Drosophila melanogaster: one gene and its partners. The protein of the gene in region 2 interacts with the protein of the main gene of each other region in a pairwise test. Each region holds a gene or a part of one and is shown on either strand. Other genes may lie near its edges. The genes, in order: Inx7, CG4835, Met75Cb and Cnot4.

Region 1 (4,299 bases), on a different chromosome or scaffold from region 2:
GCGGCATGTGTAAATGTCTTAATGCAGCTGGAAGCGTTGACTTCAGAAGTTGAGTTCCTCCTATCTCTGGATGTTTTCGATGAAAACCACTTAAACTTCCCAAAACCATAGAAAATATATAAAACTTACAGTAGCAATAACTCACCTGGAGAACCGTCCGTAATCGGGGATACCGTCATGCACATCTATTGAAACTTCACAGTCAGATGGGAGGGTACAAACTGTGACCCAGCTCTGAACTGAACACTGCAGCTCAGTAACAAACACTTTCGAAACCACAACGGATCACTCGAACTGGGTCACCCAACCGCAGTCGCCACTCGACACAAACTGTCGGCCACGCCCACACGCCCCTCCGAAAGGTGTCTGGTCGGTTTTGGTTTTGTTGTGCTTTTTACCCACTTTTTTTTTCAAAATACCTCACACAAAATAACTGTTTTTCTGTCGGCCATTTTGAGAGATTTTGCTTTATGTGAGCCCCGAAAAAAACCTGTTGGATAAAGCTGAAAGCCGAGTCTCTTAATAATAAATATATTTATAATGAAATGATCATATATATATATAAAAAAAAAACAGGTGTAAACAAGACAAAGCTCCAATAATTAATTGCCTAGCGTTAATTGAAATGCATAAATTATACAGGTAACTTTGCCATATCCGAAGTCGATGGCCCTTGGGCTCCGCCGGCAGAGGGCGAGCCATTGCGTCGAAGGTGCAAGAGTGGTGAATCAATCGTATCCAGACCACTGAGCTCCGGATAACGGTTCTTAGCGGGCGTGGGCGGTGCCTCTCGATAGGCATTGACATCGTTATCGTGATCGGGATTGGGGAACTCACTAGCCAAATGATAGATAACCTTCTTGAATAGGAACTCCGAAAGGTTGGAGCGCAGGAAGAAAAGGAACATCCAGTTGGAAAAGTTACACTTATCAATTACCGCCAATAATTCGTTTTCGTCCAGTTGGCCAGGCTTGGCCCAATAGAGAGACCAGCGGGTAAATGTGACACTAATTAAAGTGGGTTAGAAGGGTTATCACATTATGAAAACATATTTCACACCTATATCCATCCACTCACTTTCTGTAGAAGCACAGGGTTAAAATTCTCCAAAGCAGTCCCAGAACAGTAACAATCAAAAGGAAGGCGTACCAGAACCACAGAATAATGTAGATCTTCTCGTTCATGATGTTCAGCGCCATCACGCAAAGGGCATCGTGCATTTGAATGGAGCCAGAGTCACCAAATTTGTGGAACTTGCACTTGGTAATCTTCGGGAATACTAGATCCAAAACGCTCAGCTCGTCGGACCACCGATTTTTCAGGGCATGTGGTCCCAGTGTGAGGAATTGACCGCCCAAAAAACGGTTGGTCCATGTGATCTGCAGCAGAAGATTAATCAGATTGAGCACCTCCGCGAAGACCAAGTGGGCACCCCACGATTGATTCAGCCGCATCCGGTCGATCATTGTGCGACGAATGTCCTTGACCCGCTCCTCCGCCTCCGCCATCGAGGGAATGTTCAGCTTGCCGATACGCAGACTATCGTTCTTCAGGTACCTCGTTAGACCCACCATTCGAAGGCCAAAGACCAGGGCCTTGATCCGGCCGCCCTCCCAACTCTTCCACAGGGCATGGGGAATGTAGAAGCAGAGAGCCTGGAAGAACAGGACAAAGGGCACCCACTGGTAGTATGCATGCCGCTTGATCGTGTCCTTTTCGGGATCGAATGCCCCTATACCAGGTGGCTCACTTCCCGGCCTGTAGGCAGTTTGGTTCTGGTCACGTACCTATTTGGGGTGCAAGCTATGTTAATAAATGATCTACTGCCGCCAAGGCACATAAATAAAATCTATTCTATCATTTGATCATTTCAGGAATGGGTATGTGGCAACATATATCAACCAACTAATAGCAATAAAACGACTCTAAATCGATTAACCCTATTTAAGTTTTAACCAATAATCAAATAGAGTATTGATAACAGTTGCTCTCAATAGATACTTCTGTGTACCCCGTACATAGATATTTTTTTTAATTCCCTGGTGACCTCTTATAATTTTCCCTTTGTGACCCCGCTGACTTACCACTGTGAAGGTGGGCGTGAAGAAGCAGAAGGTGTTGATGACCGGAGACACAACACCGTCGGATAGGCACTGGATGTGCTCCCCGATGTACTGGCGCGACGTGATCAGGAGGGTGGCCACTAGGAGTATTACGAAGGTCCATCGATAGTGCAGCTTGAACACTATATTGTCGATGACCACACGCGTGAGATCGAACTTGAGGTACTGCCTCACCGAACTGAAGGTGTTCAGCATTGTAACGCCTTCGTTATCTTCGGTTTTGGGTTAGGTTCTGGCCCCGATCCGATCCGATCCGATCCCACTTCTACTTCGTTCACTTTCTTACGATGATTACGACAACTATGGCTGGGTGGCAATTGGAAACGGGCTGGCTTCTGGGTTCGGATGGATTTGTGCGCTCCGCTTGCCGCGGCTAGCTCCTCGTAACTGCAAGGCTCGAGACTCTGCACTTGGTCTCCGGGTCTCGGAACCTTCGGTCTCCGGTCTCCGGTCCCCGTTCGCCGATCTTCATCACCATTCCACATTCGTCGGAGAGGGCTTTCTGGCGCCTTATCGACCGCTCATTTTTGGCCAGGAGAGTCGCCCGGGCCCGATAAGATAACTTCGTCGGGCAGAAATACACGGAAATGCCGAATCAGCAATGGTATTGTGTTTAGTTCAGAGTTGTCCAAGAAAAGAGTAAGGGAAATATGAGAACCTACTGGAGTGCGCTACACTTAGCAGGACTTACGTAGACTATTGGACTATGAGAAAAAAAAAAGAAATTTTTTTCAGCTTCTGACTCGCAGTATAAGCTGAGAGAGGGGCACAATCTTTGTCACTTAGGTTTCAGTCTAAAATGTTAGCAATTTAATTCTTTCAGTGTAGGGCTCTCTTGATACCCAAGAAAACTCCGAAGTTTTTCGGTCATATTTCAAATTTCGCCCAAACATGAGTACTTCGGCATGTATTCGGCTCGTGGCTTCATAAGAATCCGAAAATGATAAGACGAAAGTCACAGAAAGAGCGAAAGAAATTATGAAAATAATACTCATTTTCTCAGGGTTTACCTCATCGGTAAGTTGGCTAAATCTCGCCCTGGTGGGTGGGTGAGTAACTTCCCACCCATCGAAATTCATCCAAGATCCAAGAGCAAAGAGGCCAAGATAACCAAGCAAACAATCATAGGAAATATGAATCAGTGCGGGAAAATATATATGTACATATATGACTCAAGAGATTCAGGATATCAGCAAATTAGTTACACTTCCAAAAACATAGCAAAAATCCCTTAGTGATGCAAGAAATGATCACTTGGTTTTAAGAATAACCATAGAGACTTGCATTGAAATCATTCAAGTGTGGAATTGCAAATTCCGCCGTAATCTGGAACTCTCCGGGTCTTAAAGCGTGCCGCTATCGCCACCCATATTGATTCAATACTGCCTATTCTGATGGATGGGACAGTAATTGGATAAGCGGACATATATCGGCTTGGCGTTATCGTATTGACCCAGATCAGTGCTAGACAGAGGGCTATGTACATACTTACTGAGACTCTTCTTCTTAAGATGGATTATTGCTCGGCTGTTTGCCTTTTTGGCGATATCGTTGCAAGGTTCCACGCAAGGCAATCAGGTGGATATTCACCCTGCGCACTATTGTATTTCATTCTTTGGCCCCGACAATCTTATCTTCCAGTCAATCCCCAGAAAAGACAACGAGTGACTGGCTTACTTACTTTCTAGAATGTAACGGAATTCCAACAGAGATTCGCACTATCAGCTCATAAGTATCTACATATATCTGTTGCTTATCTAAATAGCTCGCCTAGGCATTGTATTTTGGTGCTTATTACTTAAGCGCTCAAGTGGCCGCTCCAAAACTTTGCCGGATAAGATAGTCAAAAATGGCCCCTTTACATACGTACATATAACATTTATAAGTCGTGCGTAACTAGAGACCAGTTAACTATATTAGTAATTGCAACATTTTTAGCCGGTTGACTGCTCGAATTTACCTCTACTTGGGTTTCCCAGGAAATTGCTATGATTACGGCTACTACTTTTGCTTTTGCTTACGCCTCCCAGTTGACGAAAGTTCATTGATTCATGTTCAAATAACAATCGCATTGCTTTATTGGCATAGCCCAGATTTTGATATAAACTGATAGGCCATGCACGTTCTTTTGTCTTTGGCCATTTTGCAATGAAATTTAAATAAAGCAAACCACAAT
Region 2 (6,197 bases):
TTTATATGGCTTAAAAAACGTTTTGGACGTTTTTTAGGAGTTTCACAGGGGCTTACGTGAAATCTCTGGAAGCTGGAAAAACACACGAATGCCGCCAGACTCGGTGATGAATCTAGGCCCCAGGATGCATTGCGCCATATACAAACCCCCCATCAGATCGCCGAGAATCCTTTCCAGTCGCTGGCGACACACGCACCGGGTCAATTTCATGCAACACAAACAAGGGGAGGAGTTGTGGAACGGGGCAAGGAGCAGCTTTGCTGCGTGGAGGACACGTTTTCCCTCGCTTTCACCCGCTTCTCCGCCGCCATTCCTTTGAGGAGCAGCCAGGCGGACAGAAAGGCGAGCAGGTGCTCAGCTGTAACTAAACGTCCGTTTTAACATTGCCATCTGATGGTCCTGCTTCTTGTTTCCCAGATTTTGGATGGGGTGTGGCATGTGGCACATGTCAGTTGCTGGTCACGTCGCATGCAGGGGCATAATTGATAGTTCAATCTGTTGCAGATCAAACGCTTGACAGCAGCCAACAGATCAAGCTGAAAAATTGTCCAGCAGCAAGTTTGGCCAAAGAGGTGGGAACATTTGATTATATTTGATTTGTTGAGCTAATTCCAAAGAAAAATATGCTAAGTATAGAATAAATTTCATATATCTTTTTATAAAAGAGTAATCATGAGTACCTATAAGTATTGTTTCATTCATACTCCTGACTTTAATTTACCCAAAACCATTTATTATTTTAATCTCAAAAAATCTGTACTTAAATAATCCGCACTTTCTTTTATGCAACTTTATTTTTATATTAATGGATTTGTCCTTTCAGGCTGCACTTTATATTTTCCAACTTCGTGACTGTTTGTCAACCCAAAGGCGACTGAAGAAGGGATGGAAAAAAGGTCAGCCAGACAGCATAAAAACATCCTTCAGACAAATAGATTTGTATGCTTTTAAGTAATTTGCAGCACAAATTGAAATACCATGGCTAGCTTTCTATGCAACTGCAGCTTGCAAATCCACTTTAAACTAGAGATACAAATTTCTTCAATCTGTTTATACATTTTCAACTAATTCTACTTAATGCCGTATTTTGTGTGCCACTCATGTTTTGTCGCTTAATTTTAATGGCTTGCCGGGCATTAAACTTCTAGCTTCATTTATGTTTATGTTCGCATTTTTATTCGTGTAATTTACGCGTCGAGTGCTGATCATAAATTGTGACTCGAACTTCGCTGTCGGAAAGGTCACGTGGGCTCATTAAAGACCCAACAACACCGTGAACTGGAACAAGAACAATAAGTGTAATAACAGCAGCAATAAGAGTCACAAAAGGCGCACACAAAACACATGCGAACAGGATAAAATGATTTACCTTCGAAATGAAAGAATATAAAATGACACTCATTTCACAAGCAATACGTGTGTAAAAAAACACCAGTAGGGGAAATACTTAAAGAAAACCCCAGAGAAGCTTCCTGCCTTATATTTTGCTTAAAATTAACCTTTATAAACAAAACAATCTATGACGCCACGATAAGACTTCAATACGTAATTGGCTTATCACTAGATTAGAATATTACGGAAACTATCTTGTGTTGCTCGTGTTGAAATGGCACTTAAGAAAAATAATTCAGAAGTTAACGATAACATAAAATCACAAATCACAATCACTAGAATGAAAACGATATTCTATAAATTTCAAAGAATTTCTAATTAAATCTAATCAAAATGTCATTAATATAAGCTACCGACGTTGTATCAGGAAATAGCTTTTGCTATAGACAAGACAGTTGGCCTAGTTAACAAGTCAGTGTGGAGTTAAACTCGCAGGCGAAAAGACCTATTAAAAATATATAGTACAATTTAGAAAGGGGAGTTGTTATGCAAGGTAAATCTAAGATATTCTATGCAAGTACAATGCAATAAATTATTATGTCAATTATACATAAATATTTAAACTTAAATACTAGTAATAGTCTCTGTATGTTTTTTTTTTTGTATTATTATTGTATTCTTTCCTTTTCCAGATAATATTTTCAAGCCTTTGCCATGGCTTCTGGTGGTTATCGCCGTATTCTGGAGCTGGCAGCTAAATGTTTTGGCCCTGCCAAAGATCGAACCTCGTCACGAAACTTGCAACAATGAACAGCGATACGAAAACCAGGTGATGTGCGAGGGCAAGGACTTTGGTGCTTTGGTACCGTATCCGGATAACTGTAGTTTGTTCCTAGTTTGCGACTGTCTCTATCCCACGGTGAAGTTGTGTCCCGCAAATCTCTGGTGGGATAATAAGACCCAGCAATGTAATTATCCCCAAGCTGTAGAATGTATCTACTACTCGATTGAAACGCCAGAACCTACGGATGGAACTACTCGATTTACGCCAGAACCAACATCCAGTACTCAAAAGATAACGCCAGAACCCACAGAACCACCATCAAGTACGGCAAAGATAACGACAGAAAGTACCACCGGAACCAGTACAGAGATAACGTCCTCTACCCCCTCAAGTTACCTCCCAACATCCAGTTGGGATCCACCACCGGCACCACCGGGAATTTCAGATGACTACTGTCGCAACAAGGAGGATGGCTCGGTACATTATTATCCATATGACTGCCAGGCCTATATAAACTGCACTTACGGCTGGCCCGTGCTAAATTACTGTATTGAAGACAAGGTATTCAATAAGTACCTTGGCATTTGCGATACTCCCGATATGGCAGATTGCGAGGAGCTGCCCCTTCCTACAACCACAACAGAAATGCCGCCCACTTCAACAACTGAGGAGGATGTGGTTTGCGGTCCAACGCCGGAGGGAATTGAAGAGGATTATTGTGTGCCGAAGGGAAATGGTTTCTATGAGTATCCTTACAATTGCAGTGGGTACTTGGCCTGCAAAAATGGTTGCACAGATTTGGATTACTGCCAGCCGGATAAACTCTTTAATAATTGGCTGCACATCTGCGATACACCCGATTCGGTGCGGTGTGACCCCCTGCCATTCCCCACAACTCCGGGAACAACCAACAAACCAACGACGCCTTCAGTCACGACGACGCCTTCAATCACTACAACTCCTTCAACGCCTACAACACTGCCTTCTGATGGGTCTACAACGGAAATACATTCTAGCACCACAGAAGAGATTGTAACCACTACAGATGGACTTCCCTCTGATGTCGATCCAAATGATTGTAAAGATGAAAAGGACGGCACTATTTTTGCCTACATAGGCAATTGTTCGGAGTACTTAATATGTAAAGACAATCAAGTGCAAATGGGTCATTGTCCTCCTAATACGCTCTTCAATCCCGACTTGCTTGTATGCGATGAGCCAGATGATGTTGTGTGCCTTGGAGATCGCACCACGACACCAATTCCAACCACCATACCAACTACTACTACTGAAAAAACCACTCCTACCACGACTACCACCACAGTGGCAACAACTTTGGGACCAGATCAGCTTTGCGATGGTCAGGAGTTGGGAGCTTCGTTTTCTTATCCGGATGATTGCAGCAAGTATTATCTTTGCTTGGGCGGCGGACAATGGACTCTGGCACCCTGCATTTACGGCAGTTATTTTGATCCCAGCACAGGTCAGTGTGGACCTGATGTGGCACCCGATGCGTGCAAACCATCACAAGTCACAACCACCACAACAACAACAACGACAGAGACCACAACAACCGAAAGAAATACCACACCCAAGTCCACAGCTACAACCACCGAAAGGACAACCACAACTGTGGCCCCAAAAACTGGTATTTGCGGTGGTCGAAATGAGAACGAGAATATTGCTTATCCCAACAACTGCACCAAGTACATTGTGTGCGTTTCACCAATTCCCATAGCGTTCTTCTGTCCCGATGGTACATTCTTCAGTTCCAAGTTAGAGAAGTGCATTGATGATTGGGATGAAAGTGATTGTGAGGGTGATCAAAGCACAACGACTCTAGAACCAGGCTATACAAGACCTCCTCCGGAACCGACCATGTGTACAAATAGCAGTCGGGATACATTCCCATATCCGGACAATTGTCAATGGTTCATACGCTGTGTGGATGATTACATTTACATGATGGACGTCTGTAATTGTGGGGAGTACTACGATCCAATTACTGAAAAGTGTGGAGCGGATGTTCCTTCAGATGCCTGTCGATGGGACTACACTTCAACCACATCAACTACCAGTGAGCCGACAACGACCACAGCGGTTACGAGACCACCACCGCAGAAAGGACCTTGTGACGACGTCGAGGATGGGGCCCTTGTCGCTTATCCCAACGATTGTTCGAAGTATATTCAGTGCGATAGACCCATTGCGGTTGCCTTTGAATGCGAAAAAGGAGATGAATTTAGTGTGGAGCTTGGAAAATGTGTTGATGCTTCACTCGCCAATTGTTCGATTACAACCACTGCTAAGCCATCGGAGTCGACGACTACACCAAGAGACGGGGAAGGCTCAACAACGCCTTCCGAACCATCAACGGGATCTTCTACAGAATCGTCTACAGAATCAACAACAGAACCATCTACAGAATCAACAACAGAATCAACAACAGAATCAACAACGGAATCAACAACAGAATCATCTACAGGACAATCAACAGAAACTACAGAATCATCTACAGTATTATCTACTGATACTTCTGAATCACCTTCAACAATTTCAACACCACCATCATCTACTACAATGGAACCAGGAACAACTAACCCGGAAGCTTCTACAACTGAAAAGCCGGCAGATGGAATTTGTGAAGGCAAGACAGACGACTCCTTGGTACCCTACCCGAGAAACTGTAGCAAGTATATAAAGTGCCAATATCCAATACCAGTTGGTTACGATTGTCCGGATGGTTTGGAGTTTAGTCCCACGGAATTGACCTGCATGGATCCCGAACTAGCTGGTTGTAGCACTAAGTTAACCACACCAGGGCTTACAACTTTAAGTACAGAAGCTTCGTCTACACCGGTAACAACAGTTTCAACAACACCCGAGGCTACCACTACAGAAATGTCAACTACTCCAAAGACTACTACTACCGAGTCAACCACAATCTCAACAACAACCACAGATTCAACCACTCCCCAAACAACTACAACAGAATCGACAACTTCCAAAACAACTACCACAGAATCAACGATAATTTCAACAACTCCAACGACAACCGAGCCAACAACTCCAAAGACCACTACTACCGAGTCAACCACAATCCCAACAACAACCACAGAATCAACTACAGCTACAACCACTCCCCAAACAACTACCACGGAATCAACGACAATTTCAACAACTCCAAAGACTACTACTACAGAGTCAACGACAGTTTCAACAACCCCAACGACAACCGAGTCAACGACAATTTCAACAACCCCAACGACAACCGAGCCAACAACCGTTTCAACAACTCCAAAGACAACAACCACCGAATCGACAACAGTAACAACAACAACTGAATCGACAACCACAGTTTCTACACCAACAACTCTAGATCCGTACACCCCCAATATATGCTGTGGCCAAGCTCTTGGAACTCTGCTTCCGTATCCCAATGATTGCGGTCGCTATGTCGTCTGTGACTATCCCATTCCATATGCCGTGGATTGCGATGAGGGAACGATTTTCGATGATAATCTTCTTCAATGCACCTCTGTTCCCAATGAAAGGTGTCTTTTTATTGAATTTTAAAAAAATATATTAATAAAGCATAAATCACAGCAATAATCTTTTCCATTTCTGTTCTTTTTGCTACCCCAAAAAATCAATTGGGTAAATGCACAAATGCTCAATAGCTGGGAATCGCTTAACATATTCCTCACACATTACACTTCTAGGGCTTTCTAAGTCCTTTTTTAAGTGTTTCACTTTTTAGACATATACTTTGCTCCAGTTTTAGTATCAATTACATGCAAACCCTTTTCCCGTAATATGTCGCAAAAAAACGGAACCAAGAAAAAAAAAGTAATTTACCACTTAACACAGTCAATTCCCCGGACAGGTAACAAGCCGATTGGAATTGCAGAACCTCCTGTCGAAAGGATTGCAAACGAAGACCCTCAAGGGGACGCAAACGCGCGACAGTATTTTTAGCAACAGGCTAAAAGCAGTTTCCCCTTGACAATGCCACGTCTGATATCCTGCTCAGTTACAAGTTTCAGCCATTTATCGTAGCCTGATACTGCCGTTCTTGGCC
Region 3 (2,567 bases), about 13 Mb from region 2:
CGATGAGAGGCCCCATCAGGCTGTCTTTTCCGGGCTCGAGTTCTCAGTTGCGAGCACAGGACCCCCTCTCACAGGCAGGAGCCAGTGGAATCCTGCACATGTTTACATGACGTTGGCCTGACTGCAGTCGCGGCTGCATGCAAAATTAATAAGCCATAACAAGTTGGTTTATGATGCGGCTTCCTGGGACTGGGAAACCGTTCTTCTTAGGGGCGAATTAATTAGCGAAGCAGTGAAAGGAAGGGGCATAAAGTTGTGCATTCAAGAAAGCTCTTCCACGTCCTTGCCAACACATCCTCGGAGTCATGGTGTGGATGAGGTAGCTGCTGAAGGTCGTTCAAATAATGGCCCATTGAGCTTACCAATTCATTCATAATAAGAAATCTAGTTATTTTCTTAACCTAAATCGATGGTTCTGAACAGTAAGAAGTATTGTAAATGATCTTCTTCTTAAGCATCTCCCAAAAGGATAGAATTACCATTAATGTAATGTCCACTCTTTTTATGCTGCACCCTCTTTTCCCATTTAACTTAAACATCGCGTATTTATTTCTGGTACATTTAGTACCTTAACGTTTTATTTCTTTAGGCATAGGACACTTTGGAAAGGTTCCTAGAATGGCAGGCAAGTGTGCCGGGCGTAATTGTAGTAGGCGTGGGGACCACAAGCCTTGTCCTCCGAGGTTTCCTGGCGTGTTGCTATCTGTGCATCCACAGAGCTGAGGGCCAGGCCCAGGAAGACTAGCAAGAAACCATTGAATACGTTCATCTTGTCGAGTAGTGCTGAATGATCGGCTGTGGCAGGTAGTGAGCTATTTATACCCGACTACACGTTGCAATTAATATGGATGCTACGTGATACGGCGTTAAGCTTGCCATTTAAGTTTTTCCGGCATTTAAATCCCATCACTTACGTAAGCTGTTCGCTCTAGTTTAACATTTCTCCGATGACCCTCTCTGTTGCGATGGCTCACTTGGCGTATGCTTGATGGCAAATTGGATGCCATCAATGCTTGCCCGAGTTTGCAGGCGCACATGAATCGTATGTTTGTTCTGGCTTCTTTCGGCACAGTACTTAACTTTGACGCGATTATAAGTCGCATACAGCGACAAACGTCCAGTTCATGTAATCGAGCGAGTTGGATACGCTGAGACAAGGCAGCATGTCTTTACTTCAATATTACGATGAAGTCGGCAAAAACTTACATTGTTGACTAATAAAGTCAAAGGGCCTCTGTGAAAACTTCCGCGAAGATGCACATTGTGTGTTGGTTTCGGGACTCAAGCGTAGTCTCACAGATGTGCTGTTCTCAGCTGTTCTTGCCGTCAACTCTGGCGCTGGCGCAAGAGGTGGAATAGTACCATGAAAGATATGCGTATGCTGCCAGCTTTGTGAGGAGCATGGTGGAAAAAGAATACTAGGCAAGTGCCCATCAGCGGGTCAAGCCACCCCAACAAGCAGAAGCGGATCAAAGAACCCGCCTTTTGGTTGGCAGTAGACATAATCGTCCCAAGGGGCGTAAACGCTTTCCATTGCGATTTTCGCACGCTCGCAAAGGTACAGGATGAGATATCCCGGAGGTTCCCAGCCACACAGTTCTGGCATTGCAGGAACCGCGTTGTGGACGTTCTCAGATTCGAAGAAAGAAGGGAAATCTTAACTGCTGAACACAATAGTGCATACAGAGCAGAGCAAGAAAAAGTAAAGCAGGTATTGTCGGAATACTATTTCCCCAAAATATCCAAGCTGGCCAATGAGATCGTGCAGAACTGCAGGACTTGTGCGAGGGCCAAGTAAGATAGGCACCCAATGAAGCAAGAATTCGGTGAAACGCCAATACTGTCACACAATACTGTCTTGCACAAAGACATTTTTTTTTATGCTGACAACAAGTTATTCCTCACTTGCGTCGAGAAGTTTTCTTAATTTGCCATCGTACAACCTACCGCCTCGAGAACTATTAAAGACCATGTATTGCGACAACGAACCGTCGCTGAAGTCGCACACGATCGTGTCCATGCTTTGCAACAACTTTGGTGTAAGCATTACAAATGCATCACCACTAAACAGTACCTCCAACGGACAGGTGGAGCGTTTTCACATTGCTGGAGCTAGCCAGGTGCATAAGGATAGACAAGGGCATAAGTGATACGGTCGATATAGTAATGTTGGCCACTATCCAATATAATAATAGGTCGATTCACTCGGTCATCAAAAGGAGATCGGCTGACATCGTCCTAACGCAACCTGATGAGCCACACGTAGATTTCCACAATAGGATCCAGAAAGCTGAAAGGGATAGAGAAAACGCCTCGCCGCAGAATAGGGTATTCGATGTTAGCGAAAAGGTGTAGGTAAAATCCAACCGAAGACTCGGCAACAAGCTCATGTGCGAGGAAAGAGCTGTAGAAGCGGACATGGGGACCACGATCCTTATTGAGGAGAGGGTAGTCAAGGACAACAAGGACAACATACAACTCACTTACTTGTTTAATCACTTGTACTTTCCACATCGAAGGAAATTCAACACACTCTTTTCACCGACTGTGTCCTCAAGCTGTAACTC
Region 4 (7,852 bases), on a different chromosome or scaffold from region 2:
GGGCAATCATGTACAGCAGGGAGTAGGCGATTTGGCCAGCGGCTCCGGTCACCACAACACGAATTGGTTCAGCCTGAAAATATATTCACTCGATTAGGAACATTCCTTTAAGTGTATTTCATCTTCCTTTTTCCATTTCTTTATGCATTTTCCGTATTTTATTTCAAGAATGTTCTTAGCTATGTTTAGATGCAGCTAAACTAATTATACTGTAATAAGGGGCGAATTTTTCATCCAGCCTTTGGCTTTGGATCTATATTTTATTTTTAGACGCTTAGCGGCGAGGAAATATATGCGAAAACTGCTAACTACACAAAATACTTCGTATATATCCAGCTCGCCATTTCCGAATTAAAACCCATTTAAGTGCAATTTCAGCAAAATTAATGCAAATATGATAGCTGAAAATAAACAAATGCGTGACCAGGTTTTTTGTTACTGTTTTGAAGTGTGTCTTTATCAGCTTGCATTTGTTGTTTACGATAGATAACGAATTTACTTTATACTTTATACTTTAGCTAGAACTCTTAAATTTCCTCTCCATTTATCTCTGAGCTGGCATTTTCAATAGTTATAGATTTAATAAAACATTTTATAAGTGATGTGCTTTGATTTTTGCTTGCTAGTGCATTTTCCGCCCATCCTCGTTACGCAATCCCAGTTAATCCTTTCCTAAGGGCACTAAAAGTAGGCCACTTGTGGCAATTGACCCCTATTTATGTTTTGCCCTAAAGAAAAGTCACAGGGCATAGTTTCCAGTAAAATGTAGCTAAAGACGGGAATTACTAAACATAACATATATTATATTTTTATATTATATATTTGTCATTGAAGAAGTTTTTAACTTCCAAACAATTGGAAGCGTAACCCCTGGGAGCATTTAGCATTTTTGATAAGATATGACAGATTTGAACTGCATGGACTTTGCTTCACCGCCTCCAATCATCCGGTTTATATAAGCTCTATCTGCTCCGGCAAGAGCTATTAAAACATGAAAACAACATTTTTATCGCCGTCAATTGGCAATTAGCTCGCATTTGCAATAAATTCATGCTTTTGGGGGCCTCTGAAAATGCAACATTTGTGCATACGTTCGAATTGACGTCACTAAGGTTTTTGGTTTTTAAGATTAGCATGAAGAGAGGTCAAATGAATGTTAAATTTCCAGAAAAATTATTGCGACCAATCACACATACCGTCATAACTACACATTATTGTGTACGGCACTTTGAATGCATATGTATGCATATTCTTCACATTTGATAATCAAATATGCAGATTATTAATAATAATTTGATGATATATACTATACGAGCGTAGCGAGAAATCGCCGGCAAGCTTACCATTTTAGAATTTCACAGGTGCAACGCTCCACGGACGAACTTCAAGTAAAAACGTAAATAGGGATCGCCAATTGGGAACCTGTTACTTTTCACAATTATTTTCCAGTCACTACTTTTTGAATAAAAGTAGCCGTGACTCCAACGCAATATGTTTTTGGCAAAATAATCGATTATGTTGCTCCTTACAAATTTACTAAATTTTTAAATAATACAAAGAGTTAAGGAGTTCTCTTATTGTTATTAATATTTACAGTTGCCAAAAAAAAGTAAATACATATATAAATAAATAAAACGATGATAAATGAAAAATTAATAGAAATATAGTTATTAAATTAGTTAATGTAAACAACAAAATTTTGCAGAAAAAGCATCAAATATCATATTTCTTTGCATTATTCTTGGTCACTTTGTTTACACATACAAAATTAGTACCTAGCTATATTTTCATATCTGAAATACGCAAATGCAGTCGTGTGAAGTGATTTTTTCGCTTGCTATTATCGATAGTTTGAGCTGTGGAAAAAAATCGAATGTTTCTTGTGGAAAAAATTGGAGTCTTTAATTTGGCGAATCCATTCGTTTACTTTGCGTTTATTTTTAGCCTTAGTACTTTCGTTTGATACGTTTGCTACCAAGTATTTATAAAAATTAAAAAGCGTTCAAAAACACAATTAACCATTGCAACGTCGTTTCATCAGCTATTCAGAGTGAATAAAGAAAACCTACATCACACCTACAATCATACGTGTTACGTGTACATACATATGTGTATGTATATATACTCTTGCTTATGTACATTAAACATTTGCCGTTTTCCTTTCCAACCAGCCTTTTGTTATTGTCTAAAAATCGATTTTCGTTACCCTTTTATACGAGTTCGTGATTTGCCATAATTAATAAACAATAAATCACAGCTGTGGTTTGGTAAATAAGTGCAGCGTGAACAATGTACGCTTATGTACATAAACACTCGCATATGTGTGCGTATATAGTGGATTAACAAATTGCTGATGTACACATATTAAGTGCTTTTACAATGCATACGCAAATATCGATGCAAATTCTAGTAATTTTGCTTAATACCCACACGTATTTGCATGTCGCCATACTCACACACATGTTCGGTTATTAAACTCTTGAAAATTGTACTTTCTTTTTGATTGTGTTTTAAAGAGAGCTTCCGTTTTAAATTTGAGAACTTATTGATGTACGCAGGTAGTGCGTATATTTCCGAGCTGGTTTGATTTTTGTTATGAAAAGGTATCCATATTTAAAAATACTTTTTGTGTTTGTTTGTCTGCGTTGTAGGCATATGCGTGTGTGTGTATATACACAATAAAATTACCTGACGGCAAACACCTTCTTCGGGTCGCATTAAATTGTCTTTTTTCAAAGGTTGCATAAAGTCAACAATACCACGAATACAATGGGCAGTATGTAAACAATTTTGCACAAATCGCAACTATCAAAAAAAGTGTTAAATATGGATATTAACTAAAGTGGTCAGCTACAGGTGCCAAATGTCCACAACTTGTTTTTCGTAGTGTGCAAAATAACGGGGTGATTCATCTAATAAAGATCGCATGCCTTCCTTTTTTTTAGGTGTTTTAGGTAGACAAAATCATATATGCATAGTTTAGAAGTACAAGACAAGGGAATATTCTTCTTATTTCAATGCAGGTTCATACCAATCTGATGAAAATCCATCCTACAAAAGCTATCCTTGAGATTTAAGAATCTACACACAAAACTTCATCCTAATCAAATATATATATATATATATATTATTTATACATATAAATTTTATTTACTTTCTACAGCTTGGTTCTCATCATTATCAACAATTTTATAAAAATTACAACTGCGAGTACTTCATCACTAATCAACAAATCACCTGAAAATGAACGGCCTGAGCAGCAATGATGATGCAGTCGAGTGCCCTTTGTGTATGGAGCCGCTTGAGGTGGACGATCTGACCTTCTTTCCGTGTACCTGCGGATATCAGGTACATACTGTCATTAAAGCACCCTTATCAGCAGCGTATTCAAGTGCTATTGCTTCCAGATTTGCCGATTCTGTTGGCATAGGATCCGCACGGATGAGAACAAGCTGTGTCCGGCATGCCGAAAGGAGTATCCCGAGAATCCAGCTGACTTCAAGCCGCTGTCGCAGGAGGAAGTATGTCGTGGTCACCTCGTATTCATTCCACTAACTTCTACTCTTCTTTAGATGATTGCCTTCAAGTCCCAGAAACGCCAAAGGGACCAACAACGAAAACAAAAGATCACCGAGAACCGCAAACACTTGGCCAACGTTCGCGTTGTCCAAAAGAACTTGGTGTTCGTTGTGGGGCTACCGCCACGACTTGCTGATGCAGACGTATGTTGATTTTGCGCCATAGATAACCGACAGCAAACCCACTCACAATTGCCATTTCAGATATTAAAGAAACACGAGTATTTCGGTAAATATGGGAAAATTCATAAAGTCGTTATAAATCCAAGTACCACGTATGCCGGGGTCCAGGTAAGAGTTGTAAGATTCAATTATTTATTACCTCTATACATTCATATGGCCCAATGGGCCAATACCCGAGTTGCTTAGTCATTTTTAGGTGGTTTCTATGAAAACTTTGATAATGGCACGTTTTCAATGAAACTGAACAGATTTACGTGTATCTACCAAAATTTATTTTCGATTAAAATGAATTTGAACCTTTTGTTGTTAGCTGCTCTGGTAAGCGAACATTGTTTATAACAAGAAGTTTAAGTTTATTTTTTAACCTTTTTTATTAATATATATATGTATTTTTTTATTTTAGGCAAAATTGTGTGCGAAATGCAAAAATTTCTTGTTAATTTATGATTAAATGGATCGGAATTTACGTTCTGTTTCCGTGCTTATGCTAAAAAAATCAACTTTTGACCAATTATGATAAGAGTCTATTTTAGAATAACCCCGATTATTGTATACAAATCAAAAAGCGTAACATTTGATAAACCTGCTTTCTATAAAACTGCGAGGGTATCAGAGTTTTCGGTCCACCGAATCGCGTTTCACACTCTGCCATCATTGCTTATTTAAATTTTTTCGATTTTAAAGGGTCCATCTGCTTCTGCGTATGTCACATATGTTAATAACTCGGATGCCTTGCGGGCCATTCAAAGCGTCAATAATATTATGATAGACGGTCGGCTTATAAAGACCAGCTTGGGGACAACCAAATACTGTAGCCACTTCATGAAGAACCAGCAGTGTCCCAAGGGCGACTGCATGTACTTACATGAATTGGGCGATCCCGAGGCCAGTTTCACAAAGGAGGTAAGTTGTGAGATAACTAAATTTGTCCGTATTTAAATGTTATGTCCGGATATTTAAAGGAAATGCATCAGGGAAAGCACCTGGAGTACGAGAAGCGCCTGCACGATACTCTAATTGCGTCATTGGGACCGAATGCAACAGGTATTGTAAATGGTAATGGAGCTTCTAAAGCAAATGGTAATTTCAGCCAAGCTACATACTAAATGACTTAATAATGTTTATACCCAATCAGTCGCGATTCCATCGTCATCGTCAGCGTCATCCTCGTCCTCTGGATCGGGTACAAATGGTTCAAGTGCATCAGGTAATGCCCAGCAAAAGGAGGCCTGGCCAAGCTTATCGGTCTCGCCCATCAATGGCAAAGAGGCGGCTGCCACTGCGACCAGTTCCAGTGGGAAAAGTAAACGGGAAAAGCTGCGCAACGAGAAGAGGCACGAGAAGAACAAGGCGAAGAATAAGAACGGCAGCAATACAAACGCCAATGCCTCGAACAAGGAGAACTATGTTCCCGAAACGAGAAGCAGCACAAGTACTGAGACATTCGCAGAGGCTACGGCGGATGCACCGGCTTCCACCAAGGCAGAACCGCCGCAAGCCTCTAGCAATAGAACGAGGGCGGATCGTGGAAAAGATCGGACCACGGCTAGTGCAAAGGAGCAGAAGAAGAGCAAGGAAGCTGCTCCAGCACCTGCAGCAAGTAAACCGGCGGAGCGGGTTGAAACAAGCGAGAGTACAATAAGACAAAAGAAGGCGGAAGTAACAGAAAGCTGTGAAGATAACTTACCACAAAAGAGATTAGCGGGAACAAACGTTCAAAGATCTGTGAGCTCTTGTAGCGAAAATAGCGAAGGACACGTCTCTGAGAGTAGCTTAAGTGAGAAGAGTTTAACTGGTGATTATGTGGAGGAAAAGTGCAATAGTGTGAATTCGGAAAGCCAGCAAGAAAGTGTAAAGTTTCAGGAGGAGCTCGAAAAGAGCAACGAGGCAATTGTCGAGGCCGAAACGATTCTGCCAACAGCTGAGTCCTCTGAGGACATCAGTCCCGCTGCAGTTGCGCCAGGCAATGGAGAAGTCGAAGGATGCTTACCCGTTGTTGATCCAGTCGAACCACCGAGTCTGGCGGATAATGGAAGCAGAGTAACAGGTATTGTACCTTATCCATTTAGTCCACCACACTTTGCTAACACTTTCCGTTGCAGATGCGCTATCTAAGCTGAACATTTTCGATGACACGCCTAGCTTTTTCACATCGCCATCATTCCAGCAAGCACCCATATTAAAGAATAAGCTAGATTTGGAAATGCGACAGTCTCATTTACCTGACTTGGTCAACGGTAAGTTACGAATCTTTGAAAATAAAGAGAATTCTTTAATTTATTTTTTCTCATTTTTCGGTACTGCTAAAAAATATCAACGGGCTTAAACAGACATTGATGGAATCCAAAAGGCATCCAATACAAACGGTAATGGTTTCATTATTAAAGCATGTATTTGAATTAACTCATATTTATTCTTAATTTATCCATCCTTTGCATAAACAGAGTGGGAGGAAGCCTTCAAAAATGTGATGATGGGCAACACGCAGCACATGGAGGAGCAACTGTTGCAGCAGCAACATTTGCAGCAGCATCAGAATTTGCGCCACCAGCTGGTGTTGCAACAGGAGGAGTTCCTTCGCATGCAAGAATTACAGAAACGCAACAACTTTGCGACGCAAATCAACGGTCCTGCGAATGGTAGGTGAATTCCTACTGTGGTGTACTGCAACTTTAATAATTGTGTAATTAATTCCTTTTAGATTTCCTTAGAGCTTATGAGCTCAGAGCTCAAGCCAATGCAATCATTCAGCAACAATTATTACAACAGCACGCAGGCGAAAATCTATTTGGCGGCAACATGTCGAAGTTCTTCGATTTCCATAAAAGTCAGCCGCAGTCACACCATCAGTATCTAAATGGACATCCGCCTCAAATCAATGGGAACGGTGCTGTGCCGGAGCCGCAAAGAGTGGCGGCCTCTTTGGAAAGCAATCGACTGAATTCGCCTTTTGTCGAAAATGGTGGGACATACTTTACAATGAAATTGCTGGCCAGCCCGCAATAATAATATTTACGTTGTTATCCTAGGACTTATTAACTCGCAGCAGCAGCAGCAGCAGCAGCAACAGCAACAAAAGCAGAGAATGATGGGAATGTATGAATTTATGGTAATGATTTCAAATGGATTTAAAAAGCAACATGCTAATATCATATTTGTTTCGATTTCCAGCCTCCAAACACGCAATCTCAGCAGAATCGGTTTACACAGAACTCGATAGTCGACGATGACTTAGGTAAGACCTTGTTTATATCTCACTTCAAAGCCTTTTCACTGATTCTGCTTGTTAAAAGGATTCGACCCGTTCGTTGAGACCCAAAAGGGACTTGCTGAACTTATGGAAAATGAGGTGGTCCAAAAACAGAGTATTAATAATGAGAACCCCTTGCCGAAGTTGCCGCCACAGCCTCAAGTTCCACCCCATCCGCAATTGGTGGACAACCTGCAGCGAGCTCGCATGCCGCCGCCAGGCTTCAATCACGTCAACACATTGGGCTTGGGCGGTGCATCCAGACTGCAGCTCACCAGCAAAATAATACCCTTCATGAACATGCCCGTCAATGGGGTGGGCAACAGCGGTGCCCAGGGACAGCACCAAATGCCAATGGGTGTCAACTGGAATGCGCCGATGGGCATGCACCAGAACCCGGGACAGCCCGTGGGTGATTCGCAATTGCAGCATCCAATGGCTCACAACAAGGGTAAGTAATTGAAATGATTACATTTTTTGGTACCGAGAAAACTGTTTAATCAAATTATTTGGATTCGCAACAGTTTACAACAACAGTGATTGGACTTCAATGGATCCGGCTATACTTTCGTTTAGACAGTATTCTTCTTTTCCACAAAACCAAATTCCCCCACATCCTCAGCAGCAACAGGATTTATTTTTGCAGCATTTGGCTCAACAGCAAAATTCCCAGAGTGGTGGTAAGTGGGGCAACCAAGAGTTTACATATCAACAGTCGATTAAAATGCATCGGATTGTGTACTTGCAGGTTTCAACAACCAGGCACAGCAAATGCTTCCTATGGGGATGCCCAATAGTTTGCTGAACGGACAACAAACGCAGCCGCCACAGGTCAATGCCA

What was found.
Region 1: the proteins of CG4835 (region 2) and Inx7 interact in a two-hybrid assay, tested with the Drosophila melanogaster proteins (one large-scale study listed by BioGRID).
Region 3: the proteins of CG4835 (region 2) and Met75Cb interact in a two-hybrid assay, tested with the Drosophila melanogaster proteins (one large-scale study listed by BioGRID).
Region 4: the proteins of CG4835 (region 2) and Cnot4 interact in a two-hybrid assay, tested with the Drosophila melanogaster proteins (one large-scale study listed by BioGRID).

What each region holds. Positions count from the first base shown.
Region 1 is NC_004354.4:6,991,096-6,995,394, forward strand, and holds Inx7 (innexin 7), read right to left. Parts: upstream 2,518-4,299; 5' UTR 2,319-2,517; coding exon 2,085-2,318; intron 1,788-2,084; coding exon 1,078-1,787; intron 1,008-1,077; coding exon 635-1,007; 3' UTR 517-634; downstream 1-516. UniProt on the Drosophila melanogaster protein: Structural components of the gap junctions.
Region 2 is NT_037436.4:5,477,972-5,484,168, forward strand, and holds CG4835 (uncharacterized protein), read left to right. Parts: upstream 1-1,818; 5' UTR 1,819-1,878; coding exon 1,879-1,885; intron 1,886-2,024; coding exon 2,025-5,692; downstream 5,693-6,197.
Region 3 is NT_037436.4:18,468,830-18,471,396, forward strand, and holds Met75Cb (Met75Cb), read right to left. Parts: upstream 790-2,567; 5' UTR 770-789; coding exon 614-769; 3' UTR 549-613; downstream 1-548.
Region 4 is NT_033779.5:10,394,872-10,402,723, forward strand, and holds the start of Cnot4 (CCR4-NOT transcription complex subunit 4), read left to right. Parts: upstream 1-1,844; 5' UTR 1,845-2,111; intron 2,112-2,307; exon of another isoform or gene 2,308-2,776; intron 2,777-3,129; exon of another isoform or gene 3,130-3,163; 5' UTR 3,164-3,243; coding exon 3,244-3,348; intron 3,349-3,407; coding exon 3,408-3,521; intron 3,522-3,572; coding exon 3,573-3,722; intron 3,723-3,782; coding exon 3,783-3,878; intron 3,879-4,445; coding exon 4,446-4,664; intron 4,665-4,723; coding exon 4,724-4,841; intron 4,842-4,896; coding exon 4,897-5,808; intron 5,809-5,863; coding exon 5,864-5,998; intron 5,999-6,091; coding exon 6,092-6,127; intron 6,128-6,205; coding exon 6,206-6,400; intron 6,401-6,462; coding exon 6,463-6,723; intron 6,724-6,790; coding exon 6,791-6,870; intron 6,871-6,932; coding exon 6,933-6,996; intron 6,997-7,054; coding exon 7,055-7,462; intron 7,463-7,535; coding exon 7,536-7,691; intron 7,692-7,759; coding exon 7,760-7,852. Other genes in the region: Mdh1 (malate dehydrogenase 1), read right to left, coding at 1-73, 1,344-1,346.